3 linked regions of the Anolis sagrei genome follow. The protein of the gene in region 3 interacts with the protein of the main gene of each other region in a pairwise test. Links are inferred from orthologs where the notes say so. Each region holds a gene or a part of one and is shown on either strand. Other genes may lie near its edges. The genes, in order: DOC2A, FAM168A and UBASH3B.

Region 1 (11,385 bases), on a different chromosome or scaffold from region 3:
AATGGAAGTGAAATTCCTTGTCAATATGAAAGGAAGTTAGTATGGTGTTGCAACAAGTAAAAGTCATCAACAAAGTGAAACTAGCAACATAATGTTGTCATATCCCACCTCTAGTGGAAGTGCTTCATTTCCAAGTTCAGTTTCAATCCTTTCCCTGGATACTCCATTCCGTAAACAAACCCTAAGACAGTGTTTCTCAACCTGGGGGTCGGAACCCCTTGGAGGGTCATAGGGGGTTTCAGTGGGGTCACCAAGACCATCAGAAAACACATAGTTCTGATGGTCTTAGGAATCCCTTTGTCATAGTTGTTTGGATTCACTGTGCTCTCTGGATGTACATGAACTACATCTCCCTTAAATCCCTGTCAATTCATCCCAAACCCCTCCAATATTTTCTGTTAGTCTCTGTGTGCCAAGTTTGGTTCAATTCCATTGTTGGTGGAGTTCAGAATGCTCTTTAATTGATGGTGAATTATAAATCCCAGAAACTACAACTCCCAAATGTTAAGGTCTATTTTCCCTAAACCCCACCAGTGTTCATATTTGAGCATATGGAATATCCATGCCAAGTTTGGTCCAGATCCATCATTGTTTGAGTCCACAGTGCTCTCTGGATGTTGATGAGCTACAACTCCAAAACTCAAGGTCAGTGCCCACCAAACCCTTCCAGCATTTTCTGTTGGTCATGGGAGTTCTGTCTGCCAAGATTGGTTCAGTTCCATTGTTGGTGGAGTTTAAAATGCTCTTTGATTGTAGGTGAACTATAAATCCCAGCAACTGCAACTCCCAAATGACAAAATCAATCTTCCCCAACCCCAATAGTATTCAAATTTGTGCATATTGGGTATTTGTGCCAAATTTGGTCCAGTGAATGAAGATACATCCTGCATATCAGATATTTACATTACGATTAATAACAGTAGCAACATTACAGTTGTGAAGTAGCAATGACAATAATTGTATGGTTGGGGGTTACCACAACATGAGGAACTGTATTAAGGGGCCGTGGCATTAGGAAGGTTGAGAACCACGGTCCTAGTGGAAGTGCTCTATTTCCAAGTCCAGTTTCAGTCCTTTTCCTGGATACTCCATTCCATACACAAACCCTAAGACTTAAACCGGCATTCAACAATCCACTGAGCTCGCTGAATCCCACTGAGTGGTTCCAAAAGATTTCCGGACCTGGACGTTCCCTGCCTCACACTGATACGTCCCTATTCTGTCTTAGTAACTCCATTTCGGCTCTATTTCTATCAGCACTTGCTGCTGGAGTCCATTCTTGGAGGGATTATAGATCTAAGTGCCCTAAATGGTTTAATCTCCTTTTAAAGATATCTAAGCCCATGACTGCTGTCTCTATCTTCAAGTCGCTGAATTCAATCCATTAATGGCATGTAGAGTTCAGATACTTTTTGCTGTCTGGAATCTCATACACATCAGTTTTAAAGATCTGGGAGGAAGCAGCTGGGCATCAGATCTCTCCGCACTTCCTCCACATTGTGCACAACCTGTTGTCATATTCCCCACTCTGTCATCTTTCCCCTCCACCCCAAAAGAAAAATCCCCTAAATGCATTTTGATTTCCTCATACAGAAAGGATTGTTTGGTTACTGTGTCCTGCGCAGCCATGCGTACTATTTTTGTTCATAGACGTGAACCTTCCCTTCGCATGCCACAGGTGTTCACAGGTGACCAGTTTTGGACTGCTTCAGTATTTGTCATAGTGAGGAGACTTTCTGCTGTTCTCAGATTGAATAGTGTCAATTAGTGGTGGGATTGCTCTTCCATCAGTGTACGTCTAATCACATCTGCAGAAACGATATGTGGAATTTGGCTTCCTGCTGCCCACTGTTTTAAAAATGTGTCCTATTCCATGAATTTGCCACAAGCTAAAAGTTGTGCCATTATGAGAAAAATAAATAATGCAAGGTCCTTTCTCCATAAAACATAAAGGTAAATAATAATAATAATAATAATAATAATAATAATAATAACTTTATTTGTACCTTGCTACCATCTCCCCAAGGGACTCGGTGCGCCTTACATGAGGCCAAGCCCACAATACATCAATAAAAAAACATCAAATAAAACAATCAATACAATACAAATCATATAAATCACATAAACAAAAACAAGCAATAAACAGTGACATACAAGGTTTCCCCTTGACATTAAGTCTAGTCGTGTCCAACTCTGGAGAGTGGTGCTCATCTCCATTTCTTAGCCAAAGAGCCGGCATTATCCATAGACACCTCCAAAGTCATATGGTTGGCATGACTGCATGGAGTGATGTTACCTTCCGCCGAAGCAGTGTCTATTGATGTCACATTTGCATGTTTTTGAACTGCTGGGTTGGCAGAAGCTGGGGCTAACAACAGGAGCTCACCCCACTCCCCAGACTCAAATTGTCAATTTTTCAGTCAGCAAGTTCAGCAGTTTAACCCACTGCACCACTGGGGGGGGGGCATGTAGTAATCTAACCCCAAAATACACTGGCTGTCTCTATGGGTGCATCTGTACACATGCAGTTTGACACCACTTTAACACCACTAAAATCGGAACTATTTTGAACTGTCTGCACTCATTGGAGTTTACTTCTTGAGTAAAATGTGTACACAGTTGTACTTCAATTGAGTTAAATTAAACAACCACAACACAACACGTTTGAAATTAACAGTCAACGCAGCATTTGTTAAAACATCCGCAAATCAATGCAATCTGGCAAAAACCCAAACAGTAAAATTCCCAACTCTAGTAGATATATAGGCAGAACAAGCGGCATGCATTTTCTGTGCTGTTCTCCCTCCCTCCCTCTCTCCCTCTTGTTTCCTTCCTTTTCTGCTTGCTGGGGGTGCAGAGAGACAATTACAACTCAATAAGGAAATTCATTGCTGGGAGCTGAAAAGCCTTTTGATACAACAGTTTATCTGGACATCAGCATTCATGAGACACTTATTTTTAATTGATTACCATGGAATATTAACCACTATTAAAAGAACGACTTTGCTCAATTGAGTCCCACCACATCCGCCCCTCTCCCCGAATGAGATTGAGAGCGAATGGCAATTTGACTTTTGAAAGGATATTGCTTCAATCAATCAATTTTTGATCAATCCATCCCTTCCGACTATTGCTGTTTTCTATTCCTTGCCCCGCAATGAACTTAGATGTATGGATGCATGTTGCAGATCTCCTCTAACTCCCTGGCACCTGTTTCTTCTCCATGCCAACTTCTCCCCCAGGATATCCAAATATACAAAACACATCACATCGCCTCCTTCTCTGATACTTTGGGTGGATCAACCAAATGTGCCCCATACATGAAGAAGCACACCTTTACCTACTATCGCCCCACCTTTACGCCTATTAGCCTCACTCTGTTACTTATTATCGTCACATATCCCCACAACTACACCCAAAAACCCACCATTCTCATCCAACTTTGGGTGCATCGACCAAATCTGCCCCATATATGAAGAAGCACACCTTTACCTACTGTCACCCCACCTTTACTCCTATTAGCCCCACTTTGTGACTTACTAGCCCCACATATCCCCACAACTACATCCAAAAGCCCACCATTCCCACCTCATTTTGGATGGATCAACCAAATCTGCCCCATATATGAAGAAGCACACCTTTACCTACTGTCACCCTATCTTTACTCCGATTAGCTCCACTCTGTTACTTATTATCCCCACATATCCCCACAACTGCACCCAAAAACCCACCATTTCCATCTCACTTTGGGTGCATTGACCAAATCTGCCCCAAAGCTCCATATTTGAAGAAGCATGCCTTTACCTACTGTCACCCCACCTTTACTCCTATTCGCCCCACTCTGTGATTTATTAGCCCCACACATCCCCACAACTACATCCAAAAACCCACCATTCCCATTCCACTTCGGGTGGATCAACCAAATCTGCCCCACATATGAAGAGGCACACTTTTATCTATTGTCACCCCATCTTTACTCCTATTAGCCCCTCTCTGTGACTTATTAGCCCCACACATCCTCACAACTACATCAAAAAACCCACCATTCCCATCCCACTTTGGGTAGATCAACCAAATCTGCCCCATATATATGAAAAAGCACACCTTTACCTACTGTCTTCCCACCTTTACTCCTATTAGCCCCACTCTGTGACTTATTAGCCCCACACATCCCCACGACGACATCCAAAAACCCATTATTCCCATCCCACTTTGGGTAGATCAACCAAATCTGCCCCATACATGAAGAAGCACACCTTTACCTACTGTCACCCTCCCTTTACTCCTATTAGCCCCACTCTGTGACTTATTAGCCCCACACATCCCCACAACTATATCCAAAAAACCTACCATTCGCATCCTCCCCAAGCAATCTCTCCCAAATTGCCACAATACTCTGAAACACCTTAAGCCCACAGACATATAGGACGAAACCTCTGAAACAACTCTTCCAAGTCCCCCTCTTTTGCAAAGAAACTCTGATCCTTTCCTCTTTCCCCTCCAGACAACTTGTTTCCCCCCAAACTCTCCATAGAAATCCCTGTCTCCACAAAGTGCTGACTCCACCTTCCCTCCTCATCCCCCCTTGGGACCCCCAACTCCTACCTGGGTGCTGGTCGTGTCAACAGGTAACAGCAGGGAGGGGTAAGGTGCAACAGCGAATGACAGAGACTGTGGATTGGGGGGATCCCAAAGACTTCGAGAGATAGAGCAGGCGAGAAGGAGGGAGGGAGGGAAGGAGGGATGGGAGGAAAAAAGAGAGAAAGAGAGAGAAAGAGGGAGGGAGAAAGAGAGAGTGCCAGAGAAGAAGGGGGTTGCAGGCAGGGAGGTGGAGACAATAGAGAAGAGAAAGGGGGGTGCTGGTGGTGGAGGGTGCTGAGATCTGATTTGCAATACATAGATTAGATTAGACCACAGCTGATAAAGGATGGCTCTGTACAACTGTGACATCGATCCTGGAAGTGTACATTTGTGGCACAGTTCCTATGCGATGCGCCTGTTTGTGATGCCCATTTGAGCTGTAGAGAAGGAGGGGGGAAAAGCTGATGATCCCAACTGATAATCAAGGCTGTGGGTAGATTTAAAACAATATAAAGGGGACTGAACAGGAATCTTGATCTGCAATGTTAGATTAAATATATGTAGCAAAAGGCTGGGTCAAACAGCACAAGCTCTTTCTTTCAATGGACCCAAGGGAAGGATGAGAGAGGACCAGATTATGCATTTTGACTGATCCTGCCTTATCCCTTGGGCTTCGGGTGGGTGGCGATTTTTTTGCATGCAAAAGTGGGAAGGGAGAGGGAAGAGAGAAAGAAACTGCATTAAGATGCAGTCCGAAATAGCCACAAATGGAATGAATTGCACAGAAGAGAAAGATCGGATGCGGATTAGATTGGAGTCTCTCTCTTCCTGTAGATGGATGGATGGATGAACAGGAAAAAGAAAACTGCAGTTGCTTGAAAGCTGGGTGAAAAGGTATAAGGAGTGAACCCTTGAGACTGTATAGGAAAAAGTAAAGGAGGCTGACTGTATTTGTAGAAATGGTGATGGCAGGGAAAATGTCTAGAGGTGGACACAGAAGCAGGACGGTAATGCAGATGATGGAAAAAATAAGTCTGAGAAATCATTTACTCTTTTTATAGGAAAAGGTTATTTGACGGGACTCAACTTTGCTCAGAAACATCATTTTCTCTGAGTTGCTGTGAGTTTTCTGCACTTTATGGTCATGTTCCAGAAGCATTCTCTCCTGACATTTCACCCACATCTATGGCAGGAATCCTCAGAGGTTGTGAGGTCTGTCGGAAACAAGGCAAGTGGGGTTTATATATCTGTGCAGGCATGTAGCCGGGGGGGGGGGGGGCTTTGGGGGCTTCAGCCCCCCCTCCGAAATTCCCATGGTGGTCTGCGAAAAGGCCTTACTGGTACATTATTTAAACTGTTATGTTTATTCATATCATGCTCTGATCACCATGCTCAGTATATCTCATATGCATGGGGGTATTGGGGTAACAAAAGGTTTGCTAGGGTAGACCCTCTTTCACTCAGACTCAGCCCCCCCCCCCGAATCAAACTCAGCCCCCCCACCCCCCGAATCAAAATCCTGGCTACGGGCCTGTATCTGTGAATAATGTCCAGGGTGGGAGAAAGAACTCTTCTCTGTTTTAGGCAAGTGTGAATGTTGCAATTGGCATTAAATGGCCCTGCAACTTCAAAGCAGACTACAGAAAAAAGCAATTGAAATCCACAAGTATGTGGACAATTTGAACAGAAAGGAGAAAACCATGAAATGAACAAAATCTGGCTATCTGGTAAATACAAGCAGTAAATACAAGCAACACTCAAAAAGCAGGGGCATTCCAGAGAAGAATCAATCAGGGCTAGATAACACCTCCCAACAAAGGATCCTCCAGGCAGCAGCCAGCCAGGCTTTGAAACTGCAAGGCCATTAGAGGTTGTGAGGTCTGTTAGAAACTAGGCAAGTGAGGTTTATATATCTGTGGAATGTCCAGGGTGGGAGAAAAAACCCCTCTTATCTGCTTGAGGCAAGTGTGATTGTTGCAATTGGCCACCTTAGTATTTAATGGCCTTGTAGCTTCAAAGCCTGGCTGGTTGCTGCCTGGGGAGAACCTTTGTTGGGAGGTGTCAGCTGGCCCTGATTGTTTCCTGTCTGGAATTCCCCTGTTTTCTGAGTGTTGCTCTTTATTTACTGTCCTGATTTTAAAGTATTTTAATACTGTTAGCCAGATTTTTTTTTTCATTTTCATGGTTTCCTCCATTCTGTTGGAATTGTCCACATCCTTGTGGATTTCAGTGGTTTCTCTGTTTAGTCTGCTTTGAAGCTTCAAGGCTATTAAATGCTAATCAAGGTGGCAAATGAATAATAATAAATAATCTATATAAATAAAAATGTAATGTTCATTTGCGGGATTAACATAACTCAAAAACCACTGGATGAATTGACACCAAATTTGGACACAACCTACTTATCAGGCCAACGCGTGACCAGCATTCATAAAAACACTGAAAAACACAGCAGAAGAGACTTTAAAAGTCAAAAAAACAAAATTTAAATTACAACACATGTGCAAAACCACACAACCTATATTTATAGATGTATATAAACACACATATACACAAATATACACACACAAAACACATATACACAGCAACGCATGGCAGGGGATGGCTAGTATAATAATAAAACTTTACTTGTATTCTGCCCTATCTCCCCGAGGGGACTCAGGGCGAATTCCATCATAACAGCAGTAAACATTCAATTGCAACATTCACACTTGTCTCCAACAGACAAGAGTTCTTTCTCCCACCCTGGACATTCCACAGAAATATAAACCCCACTTGCCTAGTTTCCAACAGGCCTCACAACCTCCGAGGATGCCTGCCATAGATGTGGGTGAAACATCAGGAGAGGATGCTCCTGGAACATGGCCCGGAAAACTCACAGCAACCCAGTGATTCCAGCCATGAAAGCCTTTGACAACACATCATTTGCTCTTCTGGAAGGCTTTTCAACATGCAAAAAGGCGAAGCGTCTGAACTAAATCAGGAGGGATTTCACACATTGCAGGGTTTGAATCATAGTAAAATTAATGCAGTTTAACACCACTTTAAATGCCATGACTCAGTGCTCTGAAATTCCGAGTTTGGTGAGGCAATAGCACTGTTGGGCAGAGAAGGCTAAAGACCTTGTAAAATTACAACTCTCGTGATTTCATAGCATTGAGCCATGGTAGCTAAAGTACTGTCAAACTGCATTAATTTCACAGTGTAAACACACACCAAGGGAAATTAACGGAGCCCCATCCATAAGGAAGTTATCGAAGGCAATATATGATTTTAAGCACGGAGATACTGCTTTGACTAAGAAGTCCTATAATCCTAACTCAATGCGCCTCCAGCCTTTGGGGTCTCCCAAGGCCAGAAGATCTGAACTTCCCTTTTCTTGAGATTCAAGCCCAGTCTCCAAAAACAGACAACATGTTTGAAGTTGCCTGGCAAAATATTATCCCTTGAGTTTGGGGCTTGAAGTTTTTTTCTTCCCCTTCTTCCATGCGCTTCCCCATCTCCCTCCCCACTGTTACTATGGCAACTTTGTCCTGGACCTATTCCAGACCAGGAAATATTTGTGATGCCGCATATGCTGTTGAATGACATTTTCGGCGTTAGTCAAATAGATAAACCTGGGTTTGGATCAGGCAAGGCGAGCCGGAGCCAAGAAATCTGAAGTTTCTTGGCAAGTGGGGCTGACTGATACACTCAGTGGTTTGTACTTGCTTTCTGAGCAGGAGTTGGCTTTAATCTTGCTACGAACCTAAGGATGCACCTACACTGTAGAGTAGTTGCAGTTTAATACCACTTTATCTGTGATGGCTCAATGTGATGGAATCCTGAGAGTTGTAGTTTTATAAGGTCTTGTCTGCTGGTGGGTGCTGGTGCTTCACTGAACTATAATTCCCATCAAGCCATGGCAATTATGGTGTCAAACTTAATTTGGTATGGATCAGGCAAGGGCAAACTTTGGCCCTCCAGGTGTTTTGGACTCCAACTCTCACCATTCCTAACAGCCTCAGGCCCCTTCCTTTTCCCCCTCAGCCGCTTAAGCGGCTGAGGGGGAAAAGGAAAGGGCCTGAGGCTGTTAGGAATGGTGGGAGTTGGAGTCCAAAACACCTGGAGGGCCTAAGCTTGCCCATGCCTGGTGTAGATGCACCCCAAGATCTTCATCCCTTGAGAATCCAGCCTCAGCAAGGAGCAGAGGAGAAGGGAGGCAACATCTTGTCCTTCCCAAGTGAGGCAAAAGCAAACTGCTGCATCCTATTCTGGTTTGTGTGCTTCTTCATTGCTAACTTTAGCCCAGTGGTTCTCAATCTTTCTAATGCCATTACCCCTTAATACAGTTCCTCATGTTGTGGTGGCCTCCAACCATAACATTATTTTCATTGCTACTTTATAACTGTAATTTTACTACTGTTACAAATCATAATGTAAATATCTGATATGCAGGATGGATTTTCAATCACTAGACCAAATTTGGCACAAATACCCAATATGCCCAAATTTGAATACTGTTGGGTTGAGGAAGGATTGATTTTGTCATTTGGGAGTCATAGTTGCTGGGATTTATAGTTAAACTACAATCAAAGAGCATTCTGAACTCCACCAACGTGGAATTGAACCAAAGTTGGCACACAGAACTCCCATGACCTACAGAAAAAAAACTGGAAGGGTTTGGTGGGCATTGACCTTGAGTTTGGGAGTTGTAGTTCACCTACATCCATAGAACACTGTATACTCAAACAACGGTGGATCTGAACCATCATTGGCACAGATACTCAATATGCCCAAATGTGGAGTTTGGGGAAAATAGACCTTGGCATTTGGAAGTTGTAGTTGCTGGGATTTATAGTTCACCTAAAATCAAAGAGTATTCTGAACCCCACCAATGATAGAATTGGGCCAAACTTCCCACACAGAACCCCCATGACCAACAAAAGATACTGTGTTTCCTGATAGTCTTTTGCAACCCCTCTGACACCCTCTTGTGACCCCCCCCCCAGGGGTCCTGACCCCCAAGTTAAGAAAAGTTGTATTTAGCCATTTTGACCACACCATGATCTTGCTTGGTTGCATATGTCTCTCTGTTAAATGGTGGAGCATATGGGAGAAGGCTTCCTTGCTTCTTTAGACAATAGAACTGGTGGAAGAGAAACATGAATACTGTTAAGACTACAGCTTCCAGCATGCTGCAAGTCACTTCTGATATGGAATGAGAGACTCCCTCCTGGGCACACAGAAGACTTGGGCAACATGGTAGGTGCTGAATAGACTGGGCTCTGGCACCACGAGATGCAGAGCCAACCTTAAGAAAGGGGGCCACAAATTGTGGTCCACGATATGCGAGTGTGGAGGAGAGCAAACCACAGACCCCTTACTACAATGCAGCCTGAGCCCTGCATTGGAGGAATTCCTTATAGCAACACCAGAGACACTATAAGCGGCCAGCTACATGGGGAGCAGACCTAAAATTAATAAGAACACCAGTCCTGGCCTTGTCTTACTCAACTGCCGAGTATGCCTGCCCTGTTTGGCACAAGTCTGCCCCATGCGAAGCAGGTGAACATAGCATTGAATGAAACATGCAGAATAATCACAGGATGTCTTAAACCTACACCTGTTGATAAACTCTACAAGCTAGCAGATATTGCCCCCAGATGTGCGATGGGAAATTGCTGCTAACTGTGAGAAAAATAAGGTCAAACCCTGTGAAAGCCATCCACTGCATGGCTATCAACCTCCTTCCAATAGACTCAAATCAAGGGAAAGCGTCATGAGAACCAACACTCCTCTTAACATTCCCCCAGCAACAGCAAGAGTATCCCTCTGGGCAGCCAAACCAGGAAGTCCCAACTGGATGGCCCCCCACAAGGGTCTTCCTTCGGGGGCAAACAAAAAATGGGCAACTTGGAAGTTCCTGAACAGACTCAGAAGTGGAGTGGGCAAAAAAAAAAAAAAAAGACAACATGGCAAAACGGCACTAAAAGAATCCTCCACCTTGTGCAATTGTGGAGCAGAACAGATGACTCTGCATCTATATGCTTGTCTGCAAAGTCCTGCCTCATGTACAGAGGAAGAATTGTTGGAGGCTACCGACAATGCAGTTGCTGTTGCCCATTTTAGGTCAAAAGATATTTCACCACTTGTGCTCCTTCTATTTTTAAAATCAGTTTAATACTAATTTAGGCAATGCTTTTGATATGAAATAAATAAAATATAGTATAATGCCAAGTTTTTAACTTTGTGTTTTTAAATACATTACAATTGTACCCTCAATTTGCTTCTGACACAATAAATAAATAAGCTTCCACCAAGACAAACCAAAGGTGGCTGGGAATTCCAATCCAGCAACATCTCTAGGGCTGTATGATTCCTATCCCTATGTTATGAACTATCAGCATGACATTGTTTTTTAGTAAAGCACTCGCACCACCTCATTTTTCTTTACATTACTGCACTAATTTTTATTATATTTCCCACTCCAATTTGTTTTTAGTTCTTGTTAGCTCTTTTATGTGCCTTCTTTCTTTCTTTCTTTCTTTCTTTCTCGGTGCAAAGGCAGAACAAGATGCAATAACAATAAATAATAAATGCATTAATACAAGATTGGAAAAGTTCATTTTTGTGGGGGATTCTAGAAGTTGGAGACCAAGAAAAAGTTTTCCCCAGCTCCTGTTTAAGAGGATGTTGGGCATTCATCTTTCTGAAACATGAGAAATTAATAATAAGGAGGAAAATGAAAACAGCTCCCCTTTTCTCATCATCGTATAGCAAGCCAAATAGAACAACAGACCAGACTAAAACACGGAATCAGAA
Region 2 (10,985 bases), on a different chromosome or scaffold from region 3:
TCTAACAATAACATAACACAATAAACAAGATAAATCCATATTCATATGAAAACAGTCATTGATATAAAAGTTAAAATACAAATACAATAACATTACATTAAAAAGATAAACATTTACCACTACCACCCCAAATACACAGGTTCCTCCTTATAGACACACAGAAATACAAACTCACAATCCCTTTCACGCTCCAGGCTCATGTCTACGAATCCCCCAACATACACAAACACATATATAGAGACAGAGATATAGATCTATATAGATACATCTATATAGATAGGGACAGTTTATGGATAGTTAGACTGAGATAAGTAGAGAGAGATTATACTAGATTAGATTGGGGATTGTAGAGATATGGATACAGATAGAGATAGATAAATATATAGATCGATAGATTTAGATATAGATATATAGGTATAGATATAGATATATATTGACAGATGGATAACGACAGCGATAGACAGATATAGACAGATGGATATAGCTAGACAGACATAGATATAGAGAAAGAGGGAGAAATATAGATAGATATAGACAGATGAATAGAGACAGCGATAGTGATAGACAGATACAGATATAGATATATAGAGACAGAGATAGATATAGATATCTATCAACAGAAAGAGATATACAGATAGATATATAGAGATAGACAAAGAGATATAGGTAAAGGTAACTGTTTCTCCTGACATTAAATGTAGTAGTGTCCAACTCTGGGGGGTGTTGCTCATCTCCATTTCTAATCCGGTGTTGTCCATAGACACCTCCAAGCTCATGTGGCCAGCATGACTGCAAGGAGCGCCCTTACCTTCCTGCTGAAACAGTACCTATTGATCTACCCACATTTTGAACTGCTAGGTTGGCAGAAGCTGGGGCTAACAGCAGGAGCTCACCTCACTCCCCAGATTCAAACCGCCAATCTTTCGCTCAGAAGTTCAGCAACTCAGCAGTTTAACCTGCTGCACAACCAGAGAACCCGATAGATAGATAGATAGATAGATAGAGATAAATACAGATAGAGAAGGGGTCCTCAAACTTTTTAAACGGAGGGCCAGGTCAAAGTCCCTCAAACTGTTGGAGGGCCAGATTATAATTTGGAAAAAAAAACATGAATGAATTCTTATGCACACTGCACATATCTTGTTTGTAGTGCAGAAAACACTTTAAAACAATACAATAATTAAAATGAAGAATAATTTTAACAAATATAAACTTATTAGTATTTCAATGGGATCCTTGAAGTGACTGGATTGACCTTGAAGGAGCTGGGGGTGGTGACGGCCGACAGGGAGCTCTAGCATGGGCTGGTCCATGAGGTCACAAAGAGTCAGAAACGACTGAACCAATGAACAACAACATACAGTGTCTATGTGTGGGCCTGCTTTTGGCTGATGAGATGGGATTGTTGTTGTTGTTGATGATGATGATGATGATGTTGTTGTGTGCTTTCAAGTTGTTTCAGACTTAGGTTGACCCTGAGTGAGGGCCGGGTAAATGACCTTGGAGGGCCATATTCGGCCCTTGGGCCTTAGTTTGAGGACCCCTGAGATAGAGATAGAGAGAAGGAGACAGAGAGTGAGATGGAGAGATAGAGAAAGAGTGATAAAGAGAGATGGAGAGATAGAGAGATAAAGATAGGTATAGATATAGATAGAGAGAAACAGACAGAGAGAGAGAGAGAGAGATGGAGAGATAGAGACAGAGATAGAGACAGAGAGAGAGAGAGATTTATATAGAGAGGGACAGATGGAGAGATAGAGAAATAGAGATAGAAATTGGTAGATATAGACAGACAGATAGAAATTGATAGAGAGATAGATATAGATATAGATAGAGAGATACAGACAGAGACAGAAATAGATAGATAGCTATAGAGAAAGAGAGAGATGGAGAAATAGAGATAGAAATAGTGATAAAGAGAGAGATGGAGGGATAGGGAGATAAAGATAGGTATAGATATAGATAGAGAGAAATAGACAGAGAGATAGATATGGAGAGATAGAAAGAGATAGAGAAATACAGATAGAGATTGGTAGATATAGTAGATAGATAGATAGATAGATAGAGATATATATTATGATTTATTTACTTATTAGCAGTATTTATATACCACATTTCTCACCCCTGGGGGGACTCAAAGCGGTTTACACATAAATAATGGCAAGATAGGTATAGATACTAGAGATAGGTACAGATATAGGTAGATAGAAAGAGATAGATAGATAGATAGATAGATAGGGATGGATAGAGAGAGATAGGTATAGATAGAAATAGATAGATAGATAGATAGATAGATAGATAGATAAATAGAGACAGATAGAGAGAGAGATAGGTACAGATATAGGTAGATAGTAATAGATAGACAGACATATAGATAGATAGATAGATAGATAGATAGATAGATAGATAGAGACAGAGAGATAGAGATAGGTACAGATATAGGGAGATAGAGATAGAGAGAGAGAGAGAGATAGATAGAGACAGATAGATAGAGATAGGTACAGATATAGGTAGATAGAAATAGATAGAGATAGATAGATAGAGACAGATAGAGCGATAGAGATAGGTATAGATATAGGTAGATAGAAACAGATAGAGAGAGAGAGATAGAGACAGATAGAGGGGGGGGAGGGAGAGAGACAGATGAGGAGATAGAAAGAAAGAGACAGGTATAGATAGATAGATAGAAAGATAGATAGATAGATAGATAGATAGATAGATAGATAGAGAGATGGAGAGATAGAGATAGGTATAGATATAGAGAGAAATAGAAAGATGGATAGATAGATATAGAGATAGAGAGGTGGAGCGATAGAGACAGATAGAGATAGATAGACAGACAGATAGATATATAGAGTGACAGATGGAGAGATAGAGATTGGTAGATATAGATAGATAGAGAGATAAAGATAGGTATAGATATAGATAGAGAGAAATAGACAGAGATAGACAGATAGATAGAGATATAGAGATAGAGAAGAGGAGAGATAGAGACAGAGATAGACAGACAAATATAGAGAGAGTGACAGATGGAGAGATAGATAGATAGAGAAATAGAGATAGAGATTGGTAGATATATATAGAGAGAGATAGGTATAGAGATAGATAGATAGATAGATAGATAGGGACAGACAGAGAGATAGAGAGAGGGAGAGAGACATATGGGGAGATAGAGATAGATAGATAAATAGATATAGATAGATAGATAGATAGATAGATAGATAGATAGTATTTATTTATTTATTTACTTATTGTGTCAGTATCAACCAAACAATTGAATTACATTTTTAACAAATTTTTAACAAACAGACAAAACAGTGTTTGCAAGCTTGGTAGATAGATAGAATGACAGATAGATAGATAGATAGATAGATAGATACAAAGATAGATAGATAGATACAAAGATAGATAGATAGATACAAAGATAGATAGATACAAAGATAGATAGATAGATACGAAGATAGATAGATAGATAGATAGATAGAAATAGGGAGAGGGAGGGAGAGAGGAAGAGACAGATGGGGAGACAGAGTTAGATAAATAGATATAGATAGATATAGATAGATAGATAGATAGATAGATAGAGATAGATAGATAAAATGTATTTATTTATCGTGTCAGTATTAACCAGGCAATTGTATTACATTTTAAACAAATTTTTAACAAACAGACAAAACAGAGTTTTCAAGCTTGGTAGATAGATAGAATGATAGAGAGAGAGAGAGAGATACAAAGATAGACAGATACAAAGATAGATAGATAGATACAAAGATAGATAGATAGATACAAAGATAGATAGATAGATAGATAGATAGACAGACAGACAGACAGATAGATAGATGATAGATAGAGATTATAGATAGATCAGATAGATAGATAGATAGATAGAGATGATAGATAGATAGATAGAGATAGAACGAACGAAAGAAAGAAACAAAGATAGATAGATAGAACGAAAGAAAGAAACAAAGATAGATAGATACAAAGATAGATAGATAGATAGATAGGTGATAGAGAGAGAGAGAGATTATAGATAGATAGATAGATAGAGATGATAGAGAGAGATGATAGAGAGAGAGAGAGATAGAACGAAAGAAAGAAACAAAGATAGATAGATACAAAGATAGATAGATAGATAGATAGATAGATAGATGATAGAGAGAGAGAGAGAGATTATAGATAGATAGATAGATAGAGATGATAGAGAGAGATGATAGAGAGAGAGATGATAGATAGAACGAAAGAAAGAAAGAAAGAAAGATAGATAGAGACAGACAGATGGAGAAATAAAGATAGAGATAGAGATATAGATAGATAGATATAGATAGACAGATGGAGAGCTAAAGAGAAAGACAGATAGACATATATCCTCTCCCTCACAGACCCCCCAAGATACACACGGCCCTCTTGGCCCTTCACAAAACCCCTTCCTTTCCAGGCCCCTCATCACTCACCCCAAATACACACACACTCACACTCACAATCCCCCTTGAAACACACGCACAGCACAGCCAGGCAGGCCTGCCCTTTTCCTCCCCTCAGGGAGACCCCCACCTCCGGGCTGGGAGCAGGCCCCTTCCTTCCTCCCTCCCTTCCCTCCTCACCTTCCTTCCTTCCTTCCTTCCTTCTTGGGCTCCTTCCTCCCTCGAGAGCCGGCGCCGAGCGGGGAGAACCGGGGGAAGCGGGCAGGCCGAAAGCTGGAGGAGCTTTGTGAGGAAGAAGGAGAAGGAGGAGGAGGGCTGCTGCTCCCGACGCCGATCCCGACACTCGCCACCAGGGGCGGGCAAGGGCGGACTCGGATAGAAGCCGCTGAGGGAAGGACTTCGTCTCCCAGTATGCCCCGCGGCTCTGATTGCACTTCAGTAAGCGCAGAAAGGAGCGCAATGCATCTTGGGAGACGTAGTCGCACTCTTGTATCCGTCTCTTCAGTTCATCCTCGCCAAGACAGAAGCAGCGACTGGACTTCAGCTCCCAGTATGCCCCGCGGCTCCGATTGCACTTCAGTAAGCGCAGAAAGGAGCGCAATGCATCCTGGGAGACGTAGTCACACTCTTGAATCCGTCTCTTCAAGTCATCCTCGCCAGGGCGAACTGTTCAGTCAGAAAGAGCGACAGGACTTCAACTCCCAGTATGCCCCGCGGCTCTGATTGCACTTCAGTAAGGGCAGAAAAGAGCGCAATGCATCTTGGGAGACGTAGTCACACACTTCTATTCGCCTCTTCAAGTCATTCAATGAATCCTAGAATCGAAGAGTTGGAAGAGACCTCATGGGCCATCCAGTCCAACCCCATTCTGCCAAGAAGCAGGAATGTTGCATTCAAATCACCCCTGACAGATGGCCATCCAGCCTCTGTTTAAAAGCTTCCAAAGAAGGAGCCTCCACCACACTCCGGGGCAGAGAGTTCCACTGCTGAACGGCTCTCACAGTTAGGAAGTTAAAACAGAAGTAGAGACTGGACTTCGGCTCCCAGTATGTCCCGCGGCTCTAGATGCGCTTCAGTAAGCAGAGAAAGGAGCGCAATGCATCTTGGGAGACGTAGTCGCACTCTTGTATCCGTCTCTTCAGTTCATCCTGGTCAAGATAGAAGCAGCGACTTGACTTCAGCTCCCAGTATGCCCCGCGGCTCTGGAGGCGCTTCAGTAAGTGCAGAAAGGAGCGCAATGCATCCTGGGAGACGTAGTCGCACTTTTGTATCCGCCTCTTCAAGTCATTCTCCTCAGGGCGAACTGTTAAGACAGAAGTAGAGACTGGACTTCGGCTCCCAGTATGCCCCGCGGCTCTGGAGGCGCTTCAGTAAGTGCAGAAAGGAGCGCAATGTATCCTGGGAGACGTAGTCGCACTCTTGTATCCGCCTCTTCAAGTCATTCTCCTCAGGGCGAACTGTTAAGACAGAAGTAGAGACTGGACTTCGGCTCCCAGTATGCCCCGCGGCTCTGGAGGCGCTTCAGTAAGTGCAGAAAGGAGCGCAATGCATCCTGGGAGACGTAGTCGCACTCTTGTATCCGCCTCTTCAAGTCATTCTCCTCAGGGCGAACTGTTAAGACAGAAGTAGAGACTGGACTTCGGCTCCCAGTATGCCCCGCGGCTCTGGAGGCGCTTCAGTAAGTGCAGAAAGGAGCGCAATGCATCCTGGGAGACGTAGTCGCACTCTTGTATCCGCCTCTTCAAGTCATTCTCCTCAGGGCGAACTGTTAAGACAGAAGTAGAGACTGGACTTCGGCTCCCAGTATGCCCCGCGGCTCTGGAGGCGCTTCAGTAAGTGCAGAAAGGAGCGCAATGCATCCTGGGAGACGTAGTCGCACTCTTGTATCCGCCTCTTCAAGTCATTCTCCTCAGGGCGAACTGTTAAGACAGAAGTAGAGACTGGACTTCGGCTCCCAGTATGCCCCGCGGCTCTGGAGGCGCTTCAGTAAGTGCAGAAAGGAGCGCAATGCATCCTGGGAGACGTAGTCGCACTCTTGTATCCGCCTCTTCAAGTCATTCTCAGGGCGAACTGTTAAGACAGAAGTAGAGACTGGACTTCGGCTCCCAGTATGCCCCGCGGCTCCGATTGCACTTCAGTAAGCGCAGAAAGGAGCGCAATGCATCTTGGGAGACGTAGTCACACACTTCTATTCGCCTCTTCAAGTCATTCATAGAATCATAGAATCAAAGAGTTGGAAGAGACCTCTGCCAAGAAGCAGGAATGTTGCATTCCAATCACCCCTGACAGATGGCCATCCAGCCTCTGCTTAAAAGCTTCCAAAGAAGGAGCCTCCACCACACTCTGGGGCAGAGAGTTCCACTGCTGAACGGCTCTCGCTGTCAGGAAGTTCTCCTCAGGGCGAACTGTTAAGAGAGAAGTAGAGATTGAACTTCGGCTCCCAGTATGCCCCGCGGCTCAGATTGCACTTCAGTAAGCGCAGAAAGGAGCGCAATGCATCCTGGGAGACGTAGTAGTACTCTTGTATTCGCCTCTTCAAGTCATTCATAGAATCAAAGAGTTAGAAAAGACCTCCTGGGCCATCCAGTCCAACCCCATTCTGCCAAGAAGCAGGAATATTGCATTCAAATCACCCCCGACAGATGGCCATCCAGCCTCTGTTTAAAAGCCTCCAAAGAAGGAGCTTCCACCACACTCCGGGGCAGAGAGTTCCACTGCTGAACGGCTCTCACAGTCAGGAAGTTCTTCCTCATGTTCAAATCCGTTGTATCTCTTCAGTTCATCCTCGCCAAGATAGAAGCAGCGACTGGACTTCAGCTCCCAGTATGTCCCGCGGCTCGGGATGCGCTTCAGTAAGCGCTGAAAGCAGCGCAATGCATCTTGGGAGACGTAGTCACACACTTCTATACGTCAAGGCGAAGCAGCGACTTGGACTTCGGCTCCCAGTATGCGCCGCGGCTCTGGATGCGCTTCAGTAAGCGCAGAAAGGAGCGCAATGCATCCTGGGAGACGTAGTCGCACTCTTGTATCTGTCTCTTCAGTTCATCCTCGCCAAGACTGAAGCAGCGACAGGACTTCGGCTCCCAGTATGCCCCGCGGCTCTGATTGCACTTCAGTAAGCGCAGAAAGGAGCGCAATGCATCTTGGGGGACGTAGTCGCACTCTTTCCTTCATCCTTCGCCAGGGCGAACCAGTAATTGGACTTCACCTCCCAGTATGCTCCGCGGCTCTGGATGCGCTTCAAGTTAGCGCTGAAAGGAGCGCAATGCATCTTGGGGGACGTAGTCACTGATCTGGATGGAGAACGGAGAAGGGTTGAGCGGAGCAAGGTGCATGCTGGGAGATGTAGTAGGCAAAGCATTCTAGGATTTTAAAGAAAGAGAGATGGGGACACCTTCAGGATTTCAGTGTTGCTGTTGTATTGTTATTACTGTTGTGTTAATAATAATAATAATAATAATACAGCCAGGGGATGTTGAATTACTTTATAATTATTATTGGTATTATTGTTTCATTAATAATAATAATACAGCCAGGAGATGTTGAATTAATTTATTGTTATTATTATTGGTATTATTGTTGCATTAATAATAATAATACAACCAGGAGATGTTGAATTAATGTATTATTATTCGTAGTAGTATTGTTGCATTAATAATAATAATAATAAAACAGCCAGGAGATGTTGAATTAATTTATTGTTATTATTATTATTATTGGTATTATTGTTGAATTAATAATAATAATAATAATAATAATAATACAGCCAGGGTAGGTTGAATTAATTTATTATTATTATTGGCATTATTGTTTCATTAATAATAATAATAATAATAATAATACAGCCAGAGGATGTTGAATTAATTTATTATTATTATTTGTATTATTGTTTCATTAATAATAATAATACAGCTGGGGGATGCTGAATTAATTTATTATTATTATTATTGGCATTATTGTTGCAATAATAATAATAATAATAATAATACAGCCAGGGGATGTTGAATTAATTTATTATTATTATTATTTGTATTATTGTTGCATTAATAATGATAATAATACAGCCAGGGGATGCTGAATTTTTATTATTATTATTATTATTATTATTATTATTGCATTAATAATAAAATAATAATAATACAGCCAGGGGATGTTGAATTAATTATTATTATTGGTGTTATTGTTTCATTAATAATAATAATACAGCTGGGGGATGCTGAATTAATTTATTATTATTATTATTGGCATTATTGTTGCATTAATAATAATAATAATAATAATAATACAGCCAGGGGATGTTGAATTAATTTATTATTGGTATTGTTGTTGCATTGTTAATAATAATACAGCCAGGGGATGTTGAATTAGTTGTTATTGTTATTGGTATTCTTATTAATAATATATACACAAACTCAATGCGGAGGAATTCCATAAAGAGACAGGAAGGGAGTCTTTTCCTCCAGGTAGTAATTCCTCATGCCTCCTCTAGGGAGCAGCAGAGAGCAACAACAAAAAGAGTCAAATCAATGTATTGTCAAAGGCTTTCATGGCTGGAATCACTTGGATGTTGTAGGTTTTTCGGGGTTTATGGCCATGTTCCAGAAGTATTCTCTCCTCACTCCTCCTCCTCCCCTTCTCTGTGTACACACTTGCTGGGAAAAGAGCAAATTTGCTAAATAAATACAAATCAAGAAAGTGAGAGAAGAATTAAAGGTGGTTTAGAGAAAATACAGTAACCACTTCCTGACATGAAACACCCCCTTGATACTATCATAGTGCTTTGCCCTTTCCATAACCATCTATAGAAGAACAAGAGCTGAGAAAAGTTGGTGGAGTTCAGAATGGTCTTTGATCAACTCCCAAATGTCAAGGTCTATTTTCCTCAAACTCCACCAGTGTATTGGGTGTATTGAGTATTTGTGCCAAGCTTGGTCCAGATCCATCATTGTTTGAGTCCACAGTGCTCTCTGGATGTAGGTGAACTACAACTCCAGAACTCAAGGTCAATGCCCACCAAACCCTTCCAGTATTTTCTGTTGGTTGTGGGAGTTCTGTGTGCCAAGATAGGTTCAATTCTATCACTGGTAGAGTTCAGAATTGTCTTTGATTGTAGGTGAACTATAAATCCCAGCAACAACAACTCCCAAATGTCAAGGTCTGTTTCCCCCAAACTCCACCAGTGTTCACGTTTGAATGTCTTGAGTATTTATGCTAAGTTTGGTCCAGATCCATAATTGTTGGAGTCCACAGTGCTCTCTGGAGGTAGGTGAACTACAACTCCAGAACTCAAGGTCAATGCCTACCAAACCTTTCCAGTATTTACTGTGTGTCGTGGGAGTTCTGTGTGCCAAGTTTGGTTCAATTCTATCATTGGTGGAGTTCTGAATGCTCTTTGGTTGTAGGTGATCTATAGATCCCAGTAACTACAACTCCCAAATGTCAAGGTCTATTTCCCCCAAACTCCACCAGTGTTCACGTTTGAATGTATTGAGTATTTAGGAGAAGTTTGGTCCAGATCCATCAGTATTTGAGTCCACAGTGCTCTCTGGAGGTAGGTGAACTACAACTCCAGAACTCAAGGTCAGTGCCCACCAAACCCTTCCAGTATTTTCTGTTGGTTGTGGGAGTTCTGTGTGCCAAGTTTAGTTCAATTCTATCATTGGTGGAGTTCAGAATGCTCTTTGATTGTAGGTGAACTATAAATCCCAGCTACTACAACTCCCAAATGACAAAATCAATCCCTCCCCCAACCCCAACTGTATTCAAATTTGGGTGTATCGTGTATTTATGCCAAATTTAGTCCAGTGAATGAAAATATATCCTGCATATCAGGTATTTACATGACGATTCATAACAGTATTTACATGACGATTTACATGATGATTCATAACAGTAGCCAAATTACAGTTATGAAGTAGCAACGAAAATAATTTTATGGTTGGGGAACAACATGAGGAACTGTATGAAGTGGTCATGGCATTAGGAAGGTTGAGAACTACTACTCTAAAGCGTTGCTCTAAATCAGAAATGGCTTGATTGGCAATCCCCATTCAAATGTTTACTCCAAACAAACCAGCTCCACAGCCTCACTCCTTCCAACCTTTAAGCAAAAGCACTGGACACAAACCGCAATCAGTAAAGCGCACCATCCTGCAGCTTGTAGACACTGAGCAACCACAACAAACCCTCCTTCTTGTGAATTTTTAATAAAGCAACAGGCATGAAATATTTAAGCACAGCCCTTAAGGATTCATTCTGCACTAAAGAAAACAAGAAGAAGCCGAGTTCAATTTTGGTACAAAGGGAGAGAAGACACCAACTAGTTCAGGCATGGGCCAACTTGGGCCCTCCAGGTGTTTCGGACTTCAACTCCCACCTACCGGCTGTTAGGAATGGTGGGAGTTGAAGTCCAAAACACCTGGAGGGCCCAAGTTGGCCCATGCCTGAACTATATACTTTGAGCAACAACTTTGGCACAGGATGCTGTGATAATACCTGAAAATTGCCATCCTTTAAAGACGAAAAGACCACAACAAATATCAACCCTTGGCGATGAGAGTT
Region 3 (11,057 bases):
CAGAGAGCACTCTGGACTCAAACAATGATGGATCTGGACCAAACTTGGCATGAATACTCAATATGCCCAAATGTGAACACTGGTGGAGTTTGTGGAAAACAGACTTGACATTTGGGAGTTGTAGTTGCTGGGATTTATAGTTCACCTACAATCAAAGAGCATTCGGAACTCCACCAACAATGGAACTGAACCAAACTTGGCACACAGAACTCACATGACCAATAGAAAATACTGGAAGGGTTTGGTGGGCAGTGTCCTTTGGTTTTGGAGTTGTAGTTCACCTACATCCAGACAGCACTGTGGACTCAAACAATGATGCATCTGGATTAAACTTTGCATTAATACTCAATATGGTTAGATTGGTTACATGTGAACACTGGTGGAATTTGGGGGAAACAGACCTTGACATTTGGGAGTTGTAACTGTTGGGAGTTATAATTCACCTACAATCAAAGAGCATTCTGAACCCTACTAATGATAGAACTGGGTTAAACTTCCCCATAACCAACAGAAAATGCTGTATTTTCTGATTCTCAAGGGGGTGTCCCCTCTGACAACCCTTGCAGCCCCCCACCCAGGGATCCCGACCCCCAGGTTGAGAAACACTTCCCTAACGATATCAGATGCCGTCCTGGTTAATGCTTGGATGAGAGACCCCCTCCCAATGAATACCAGATGGGTGTGCCTCTGAGTTGTCTGTGACCCCATGGATTTTAGGGTTTTCTTAAGCCAGGAATGCTCAGAAGTGGTTTTGCAAGTTCCTTCCTCTGAAATATACCCTACAGCATCTGGTATTTGTTGGCTGTCTTTATCCTGAGGCTATTTCACCAGTGGAGGAACAAGCAAAACTACCCTTGCCTAAGAAGACCCTATGCAATGCCTCAGGGCATCGTAAGTCAACAGGCAACTTGAACATACAAACACAGAGTCCCATTGGGCACATGATAATGACATATGGTATATAGAAAGGAAATGCCAAGCCTGACCAATTCCCCTCTGAGCTGCCAGATGCAATAGAAGCAGAGGACTTCCATGAAGTCATATTTTTATTCGACAGTTCAGATGCCAAACATAAAAACCCAAGCCGACTGAGGTTACTCTTTATTTAAAAACCTCTGCACCCCTGCATCCTTAGCAGCTGTTTGGCTCACAGAAAATAAATAGGAGAAGCTTTCTTTGATACCCAGGTAAGTGAAGCAAACAGTTCAGAGGTTGGCATATTTTGGTGTTAGGACACTGGAGTGCAGCCAGTTTTGAGGATTTATTTTGAGTCTCCTTGTGGGGAAAAAAAGAGGGGCATAATAATAATAATAATAATCATCATCATCATCATCATCATCGTCATCATCGTCGTCATCATCATCACAGAATCATAGAATCAAAGAGTTGGAAGAGACCTCATGGGCCATCCAGTCCAACCCCCTGCCAAGAAGCAGGAATATTGTATTCAAATCACCCCTGACAGATGGCCATCCAGTCTCTGTTCAAAAGCTTCCAAAGAAGGAGCCTCCACCATGCTCCGGGGCAGAGGCTGGCATAATAATAACTGGCACAAGCCAGTAAAGATGGTCCCAGTGGTGATTGGCACACTGGGTGCAGTGCCTAAAGACCTTAGCCTGCACTTAAACACAATCGGCGCTGACAAAATTACCACCTGCCAGCTGCAGAAGGCCACCTTACTGGAATCGTCACGCATTATTCACTGATATATCACACAGTCCTATACACTTGGGAAGTGTCTGACGTGTGATCCAAAACAACAGCCAGCATAGTGATCTTGTCTGCTGTGGACTCATCTTGTTGTGTTTCAAATAATAATAATAATAATAAGAAGAAGAAGACGACGACGACGACTATGGTACCAGCAAGTCAAGGTGATCCCAGTGGTGATTGGCACACTGGGTGGAGTGCCTAAAGACCTTGGCCTGCACTTAAAAACAATAAGAAGAAGAAGGAGAAGAAGGAGAAGAAGAAAACTCTGGCACAAGCCAGCCAAGGTAGTTCCAGTGGTAATCGGCACACTGGGTGCAGTGCCTAAAAACCTTGGCCTGCACTTAAAAACAATAGGCACTGACAAAATTATCATCTGTCAGCTGCAAAGGGCCACCCTACTTGGATCTGCACACATTATTCACCAATACATCACACAGTCCTAAACACTTGCAAAGTGTCCAACATGTGAGCGAATACAAAAGCCAGCACAGTGATCTTGTTTGCTGTATACGAATCTTGTTATGTATCAAATAATAATAATAATAATAATAATAATAATAATAATATAAGCAATACCATTGGCACTGTTGGGAAGACAAAGTTAGAACCTGAATGAGAGACAGTCAATGAATGCTACATTTCAGAGGAATAGTAATGACTTAGCCACCTCTCAATATTCCTTGCTTAAGAAAACTCTATGAAAATTCATGGGGTTGCCATAACGACATAGGTGATGCAAAGGCGTGTACACACATGCCACACCCATGGTCTGGGGCTGTGTTTGGAGGGAGTCATTGACGGAGCACATGTTTTGCATGGCAAAGATCCCTGGCGGCTCAGTCCCAAGGATTATCCCAGTAAAGTTGGGACAATATCTGCTCTCAAGTCTGCCAATCCCAGTTGACAACAGACCACACAACCTCTGAGGATGCCTGCCATAAATGTGGGCAAAACATCAAGAGAGAATGCTTCTGGAACATGGCCAGAGAGCCCAGAAAACTCACAGCAGTTCTAGAATGGATGCCCCATGTGGTATCTTCCAACTCTAGAGTTGGAAGAGACCACAAGGGCCATCTGGTCCATGCAAGACATGGAGCAAGAAGGCTTTGTTGCTGGGATTTCACAACCTCTGATGATGCCTGCCATAGATGTGGGTGAAACATCAGGAGAGAATGCTTCTGGAACATAGCCAGATAGCCTGGAAAACTCACAGCAACTTCAGAACGGATGCCCCATGTGGTATCTTCCAACTCTAGGGTTGGAAGAGACCACAAGGGAGATCTGGTCCATGCAAAAGACATGGAGCAGGAAGTCTTAGCTGCTGGGATCTCACAACCTCTGAGGGTGCCTGCCATAGATATGGGTGAAACATCAGGGGAGAATGCTTCTGGAACATAGAATCCTAGAGTTGGAAGAGACCTCATGGGCCATCCAGTCCAACCCCATTCTGTCAAGAAGCAGGAAAATTGCATTCAAAGCACCCCCAACAGATGGCCATCCAGCCTCTGTTTAAAAGCTTCCAAAGAAGGAGCCTCTACCACACTCCGGGGCAAAGAGTTTCACTGCTGAACAGTTCTCACAATCAGGAAGTCCTTCCTAATGTTCAGATGGAATCTCCTTCCTTGTAGTTTGAAGCCATTGTTCCGCATCCAAATTCGCTCCCCCCGCCCTATGACTTCCTCTCACATATTTATACATGACCCTCATCATGACTCCTCTCAGCCTCCTCTTCTTCAGGCTAAACATGCACCTTTTTAAGCTGTTCCTCATAGGGTTGTTGTAGGTTTTTTCGGGCTATAGCCTGAAAAAACCTACAACAACCCAGTGATTCCGGCCATGAAAGCCTACGACAATATATTGCTCCTCATAGGGCTTGTTCTCCAGACCCTTGATCATTTTAGTCGCCCTCCTCTGGACACATTCCAGCTTGTCAATATCTCTCTTCAATTGTAGTGCCCAGAATTAGACACAATGGCCAGACAGCCCAGAAAACTCACAACAAAGTGATGCCAGCCATGAAAGCCTTCCACAATGTATTCTGGAGCTGCTGGACTGCCTGCCTTGACCCCAAGTGATCCTTATTTCAAGGGATGCCTGGCTCTGGTCAAGAAGCAGGAGGACAGCTATTCAAAGCTTCCCATTCTTACACAGAGGGTCTCCCCTCTCTCTCAGTGTCACTTTCCTTCTTCCCATCCGCCCTAAGGCTTTGGGGACAGTCTGCTTTGGGGTGAAGTGGCCACAGACCTCTCACAAGCTCCAAATGCCCAACGCACAGCCTCTCCAAGGATCTTTGCCTCTCCAAGGCTCTGGATGGCGAGGCCCAGACTCAAGAGGCAAGGGTTGCCCTGTGTTGTGTGGGAAAGCAACAACCCAGCCCTACTTTTGGACTTCCTGGACCCCAAACCTATCCCGGATGAGCCCCCAATGAATGGCAGGGAAGACGTCAGCCCAGCCGCGCGCTCCCGCTGCGTGCCAAGGCGGATGATGGGGACATTCCTCCATCCAGAGCTGCCTCTCTCTCCCCGCCATCGCAACACAGCATCTCTAGCCCAGCCCCAGGCCCACGGACACACACACCCGGACCCCCGAGGGAGGCAGACATCGCCCGTGGGTGAAGGAAGGCGCGGAGGCGAGCGCATCCTCTTTCTGCATCCTCTCTTTTGGAAAGCAGGCACCGGGAGAGAGAAGTCACCCCACAGAGAGAGACCCCGAGGCACACGTCAGCATGTCCCCCTCGGCCTGAGCCCCACTTACGCTCTGGTTTTGGGGAAGCCCATGGAGAGGAGGATGTCCAGCGAGGAGCCGTGCTTGATGGTGCCCGGCCGGGGCTGGCGGGTCCTCCGAGGGGTGACTTGGCTGTAGAGGTCCGCTCGGGAGGTGGCAGCCGCTGCAGCAGCCATAGCTGGGGTCAGGGGCCCAGGCGTGGGTCCGGCTCCACAGCCCCACACACGATCATCCGGACAGGGAGCCCATTGCAAGGCTCAGAGCGCCGCCTCCTCTTCCTCCTCTTTCCCTGCTTCTCCAAGGGCGCAATTCCCCTTCTCTCTCTCTCTCTCTGTCTCTCTCTCTGGAGGCGGGAGGAAGGCAACTGGGAGGCAGCGAGGGCGCACTGATGCAAGAAGCGGCTTCCTGGGGAAGGAGGGGACCAGCTTGCTGCCAAAGGCACTCCTCCTCCTTCTCCTCCTCCTCCTCCTGCTTTCTCCGCCTTCTCCTCTCCTCCCTCCTTTCTCTCCAAGCTTGGCTTTGGCTGAAGGTGTTCCCAACTGGCAGCAAAATGCGCCCCACCTCATCCAGCCCAATCCAGGCACCCTCCATCCCTTTCTTCCTGGATAATAATAGCAATAGTAATAATAATAATTCATCATTAGCTGAAGATGTTCTCAGCTGGTAGCAAAACACATCCTACCCCATCCAACCAAAGTCAGGAATCTTCCACCTCTCTCTCTCCTGGATAATAATAATAATAATAATAATAATAATAATAATAATAATAATAATAAATAGTTCATCATTTCTGGCTGAAGGTGTTCCCAGCTGGCAGCAAAATGTTCCCCACCTCATCCAACCCAAGTCAGGCATCTTCCACCTCTCTCCTGGATGATGATGATGATGATGATAATAATAATAATAATAATAATAATAATAGTTCATAATCTATGGCTGAAGGTGTTACCAGCTGGCAGCAAAATGTGCCCCACCTCATCCAGCCCAATCCAGACATCCTCCATACTCCTCTTCCTGGATAATAATAGCAATAGTAATAATAATAATAATTCATCATTCGCTGAAGGTGTTCTCAGCTGGCAGCAAAACACATCCCACCTCATCCAACCCAGGTCAGGCATCTTCCAACTCTCTCCTGGATGATGATGATGATGATGATGATAATAATAATAATAATAATAATAAGCTCTTGTGGGTTTTTTCGGGCTATATGGCCATGGTCTAGAGGCATTCTCTCCTGACGTTTCGCCTGCATCTATGGCAAGCATCCTCATAGGTAGTGAGGTCTGTTGGAATTAGGACAATGGGTTTATATATCTGTGGAATGGCTGGGGTGGGGCAAAGAGCTCTTCCCTGCTGCAGCTAGGTGTGAATAATAATAATAGTTCATCATCTCTGGCTGAAGGTGTTCTCACCTGGCAGTTAAATGCACCCCACCTCATCCAGCCCAATCCAGGCACCCTCCATCCCCCTCTTCCTGGATAATAATAGCAATAGTAATAATAATAATAATTCATCATTAGCTGAAGATGTTCTCAGCTGGTAGCAAAACACATCCCACCTCATCCAACCCAAGTCAGGCATCTTCCAACTCTCTCCTGGATGATGATGATGATGATGATAATTTATCATCTCTGGCTGAAGGTGTTCCCAGCTGGCAGCAAAATGCACCCCACCTCATCCAACCCAAGTCAGGCACCCTCCATTCCCCTCTTCCTGGATAATAATAGCAATAGTAATAGTAATAATAATAATAATAATAATAATAATAATTCATCATTAGCTGAAGGTGTTTTCAGCTGGCAGCAAAACACATCCCACTTCATCTAACCCAAGTCAGGCATCTTCCACATCTCTCCTGGATAATAATAATAATAATAATAATAATAATAATTCATCATCTCTGGCTGAAGGTGTTCCCAGCTGGCAGCAAAATGTTCCCCACCTCATCCAACCCAAGTGAGGCATCTTCCACCTCTCTCCTGGATGATGATGATGATAATAATAATAATAATAGTTCATAATCTATGGCTGAAGGTGTTCCCAGCTGGTAGCAAAATGTGCCCCACCTCATTCAGCCCAATCCAGACATCCTCCATACTCCTCTTCCTGGATAATAATAGCAATAGTAATAATAATAATAATTCATAATTAGCTGAAGGTGTTCTCAGCTGGCAGCAAAACACATCCCACCTCATCCAACCCAGGTCAGGCATCTTCCAACTCTCTCCTGGATGATGATGATGATGATAATAATAATAATAATAGTTCATAATCTATGGCTGAAGGTGTTCCCAGCTGGCAGCAAAATGTGCCCCACCGCATCCAGCCCAATCCAGGCACCCTCCATCCCCCTCTTCCTGGATAGTAATAGTAATAATAATAATAATAATAATAATAATAATAATAATAATAATAATTCATTAGCTGAAGGTGTTCTCAGCTGGCAGCAAAACACATCCCACCTCATCCAACACAGGTCAGGCATTTTCCAACTCTCTCCTGGATAATAATAATAATAATAATAATAATAGTTCATCTTCTTTGGCTGAAGGTGTTCTCAGCTGGCAGCAAAATGCACCCCACCTCATCCAGCCCAATACAGGCACCCTCCATCCCCCTCTTCCTGGATAATAATAGTAATAGTAGTAATAATAATTCATCTTTGGCTGAAGGTGTTCCCAGCTTGCAGCAAAACACATCCCTCCTCATCCAACCCAGGTCAGGCACCTCTCACTCCCCCCTGAATAACAATACTAACAACAACAACAATAATAATGATAATAATTCATCTTTGGCTGAAGGTGTTCCCAGCTGGCAGCAAAAGGTGCCCCACCTCATCCAGCCCAGGTCAGGCATCCGCTGACCCCTCTTGAATAACAGTAACAACAAAAATAATTCATTTTTGGCTGAAGGTGTTCCCAGCTGGCAGCAAAAGGTACCCCACCTCATCCAGCCCAGGTCAGGCATCCGCTGCCTTCCTCTTGAATAGCAGTAACAACAAAAATAATTCATTTTTGGCTGAAGGTGTTCCCAGCTGGCAACAAACACATCCCACCTCATCCAACCCAGGTCAGGCACCCTCTACCTCCTCCTGAATAACAATAGTAAAAACAACAACAATAATAATTCATCTTTGGCTGAAGGTGTTCCCAGCTGGCAGCAAAATACAACCCTCCTCATCCAATCCACTCATTGATGGAGTTCAGAATGCTCTTTGATTCTAGGTGAACTATAAATCCCAGCAACTACAACTCCCAAATGACAAAATCAATTTTTTGAGTGATGATCACTCCTAGGGTTAGTAGGTGTCTTGTGGTCAAATTTGGCAGCAATTCGACCAGTGGTTTTTGAGTTATGTTAATCCCACAAACAAACATTACATTTTTATTTATATAGATATACAGGAGCCCCCGGTGGCGCAGTGGGTTAAAGCACTGAGCTGCTGAGCTTGTTGATCGAAAGGTCGCAGGTTCAATTCCGGGGAGCGGCGTGAGCTTCCGCTGTCAGCCCTAGCTTCTGCCAACCTAGCAGTTCGAAAACATGCAAATGTGAGTAGATCAATAGGTATCGCTCCGGCGGGAAGGTAACAGCGTTCCATGCAGTCATGCCGGCCACATGACCTTGGAGGTGTCTACGGACAACGCTGGCTCTTCGGCTTAGAAATGGAGATGAGCACCACACCCCAGAGTCAGACATGACTGGACTTAATGTCAGGGGACTACCTTACCTAGATATACATGATGTCCCTCACTCTAGTTATCCGTTGAATGAAGCCAGTGCAATGCAGTTAAAGCAGTATCAAAATGCCATAATTGTGTAGTATGAAAAAAGCCTAGCAGATTTGATCCATTCAACTGATATAATTCTTGTTCCAGTGTCTCCATCTGCTGCCATTGGATAGTTGTATTCCTTCACGCTGTTGACATCTCTAAGGTGAACCTACCATGGAGTTTTATTGGTAAGATTTGTTTGGAAGTGGGTTAACTTTGCCTTTCGTGGAGGCTTGCCCAAGATCCATGGAATTTGAACTCTGGTCTCCAGAGTCATAGTCTTCTGCGTTCATGTATGTATATAGACCTCACTCCATTCATCACAAATGCAGAGATGCAGAGCTGAAATTATTACATTCACTGGTTGCAACTCCATGCCTTCAAGGCTGCTGTTAGCAAAGGACACATGTATGTTTACTAAAAGGTCCTACAGCATGGACTTCGGGATTGAGAGGACTGCAATCTAGTCCAACCAGTAGTGCAAGAATCCATTGCTAAAGCAGCCCCAAGCTGTGGCCACCTAACCTCTCTTTTTAAAACCCCCAAAGAACAAGAGCCCACTGTTTTCTCAACTAGCCTATTATACTCTGGATCATTGAAAGGGTTTCTCTTTTGAGGGAGCCTGGATCCAGTCTGTGGCCATTCCACACTGCACAGTTACAGCATTATGATTCCTCTTTAACTAAGGAATCTCTTCCAGTTCAACTCTATGGCCAACTTTTAGTTTCACTGGAGAACCTTGAGATTCCTACAGAGGTATTCCCTCTGATAAACAATAGTGGTGCATTTTAAAAGTAGGTGAAAGTGTGGGAGGACAGAGGATTAACTGGGACAAACTGGGAGAGCTGGAGGCATCCATTAAAGATTTCCCCTGGCCCGTTTCTATTTATTACAGCAGCTTTCTCAACCTGGAGGTTGGGACCCCTGGGGAGGGGGTCGCGAGGGGGTGTCAGAGAGGTCTCCAAAGACCATCAGAAAATACAGTATTTTCTGTTGATCATGGGGGTTCTGTGTGGGTAGTTTGGCCCAATTCTATTGGTGGAGGTCAGAATGCTCTTTTAGTGTAGGTGAAGTATAAATCCCAGCAACTACAACTTCAAAATTTCAAGGTCTATTTCCCCAAACTCCACCAGTGTTCACAATTGGGCATATTGAGTATTCATGCCAAGTTTGGTCCAGATCCACCATTGTTGTATAGTCATATGTTGTTGATACTGGCCTCTGTAACTGTCTTTTTATGTGTACTGTACACCGCCATGAGTCGCCCGTAAGGGCTGAGAATGGCGGTCAATAAGTGCATCTAATAAATAAATAAATAATAAATAAATAAATTGTTTGAGTCCACAGTGCTCTCTGGATGTAGGTAAACTATAACTTCAAAACTCAAGGTCAGTGCCCACCAAACCCAATATTTTCTGTTGGTCATGGGAGTTCTGTGTGCCAAGTTTGGTTCAATTCCATCATTGATGGATTTCAAAATGCTTTTTGATTGTAGGTGAACTATAAATCCCAGCAACTACAACTCCCAAATTTCAAGGTCTATTTTCCCCAAACTCCACCAGTGTTCACATTTGGGCATATTGAGTATTTGTGCCAAGTTTGGTCCAGATCCACCATTGTTTGAGTCCACAGTGCTCTCTGGATGTAGGTGAACTATAACTCCAAAACTCAAAGTCAGTGCCCACTAAACCCAGTATTTTCTGATGGTCATGGGAGTTCTGTGTGCCAAGTTTGGTTCAATTCCATCATTGATGGATTTCAAAATGCTCTTTGATTGTAGGTGAACTATAAATCCCAACAACTAAAGCTCCCAAATAACTAAATCAACCTCCCCAACCCCACCAATATTCAAATTTGGGCATCTTGGGGGATATTTGTGCAAAATTTGATCCAGTGAATGAAAATACTTCCTGAATAGCAGATATTTACATGATGCTTCATAACAGTAGCAAAATAACAGTAATGAAGCAGTAATAAAAATAATGTTATGGTTGAGGGTCACCACAACATGAAGAACTCTATTGAGGGGTCGCGGCATTAGGAAGGTTGACAACCACTGCATTACAGGATGCTGAAAGAGCACATGTGTAATGCTATAAGTCTCTATAGGTTACGTGCCAATTTACAACTCAGAACTGATAACGGTCTTGATTTTGCAGGTGCTGAAGTGGTGTGAGGTTTGAGAATAAACCCAGTGGAATACAGAGCAGTCCTCAAGTTCCTTGACTTTAAAGGCTGCACACCAAAGGGGACGTTCGATGAGATGAACGAGGTTTATGGTGATGATTCCCCATCATAAGAAGTAGTCAAGAACTGGCATCATCAATTCAAATGTGATTGGACTTCAGTGGAAACAGCTCCAATTCCAGGTGACCCCATTCTGCTACTGATGAACATGCCATCCAGCAAGCGGAGGTTGCCATTTTGGAAAATCGCCGCGTAACCATTTGCCACCTAGCCCAAAATGTCAAGATTAGTGTGGAGTCCATGAAAAAAAAATCATCCAAGGCAATCTTCACATGCATAAGGTATCCGCTCGCTGGGTCCCTCAGCTGCTCACACCTTTCCAGAAGCAGGAATGGGACGAATGCTCTCAGGTCTATTGATGATGTGCCATGGAAACCAGGAGGACATTTTCAACAGACTGCTCACACAGGATGAAAGCTGGGTCCAATACAATGATCCTGAGACTAAAGTCCATGCTTCCAGTTGATGCAATGGAAGCATCATGTCTCACTGCCTCCAAAGAAGGCACATGCCCAACTCTCAGCAGGCAAGGTCATGCTCACAGTATTGTGGGACCAGAACGGAGTACTAATGATGGATTTCCTAGCAAAGGTTGCCATG

What was found.
Region 1: the proteins of UBASH3B (region 3) and DOC2A interact in binary tests that used the Homo sapiens proteins (3 or more experiments, as listed by UniProt). The link is inferred for Anolis sagrei from reciprocal best matches to the Homo sapiens genes UBASH3B and DOC2A.
Region 2: the proteins of UBASH3B (region 3) and FAM168A interact in binary tests that used the Homo sapiens proteins (3 or more experiments, as listed by UniProt). The two-hybrid records come from large-scale screens. The link is inferred for Anolis sagrei from reciprocal best matches to the Homo sapiens genes UBASH3B and FAM168A.

The regions. Positions count from the first base shown.
Region 1 is NC_090026.1:16,953,218-16,964,602, reverse strand, and holds the start of DOC2A (double C2-like domain-containing protein alpha), read right to left. Parts: upstream 5,057-11,385; 5' UTR 4,951-5,056; coding exon 4,606-4,950; intron 1-4,605. UniProt on the Homo sapiens protein: Calcium sensor which most probably regulates fusion of vesicles with membranes. Binds calcium and phospholipids. May be involved in calcium dependent neurotransmitter release through the interaction with UNC13A.
Region 2 is NC_090023.1:5,979,822-5,990,806, reverse strand, and holds the start of FAM168A (protein FAM168A), read right to left. Parts: upstream 4,761-10,985; 5' UTR 4,605-4,760; intron 1-4,604.
Region 3 is NC_090027.1:35,711,658-35,722,714, forward strand, and holds the start of UBASH3B (ubiquitin-associated and SH3 domain-containing protein B), read right to left. Parts: upstream 4,888-11,057; 5' UTR 4,614-4,887; coding exon 4,468-4,613; intron 1-4,467. UniProt on the Homo sapiens protein: Interferes with CBL-mediated down-regulation and degradation of receptor-type tyrosine kinases. Promotes accumulation of activated target receptors, such as T-cell receptors and EGFR, on the cell surface.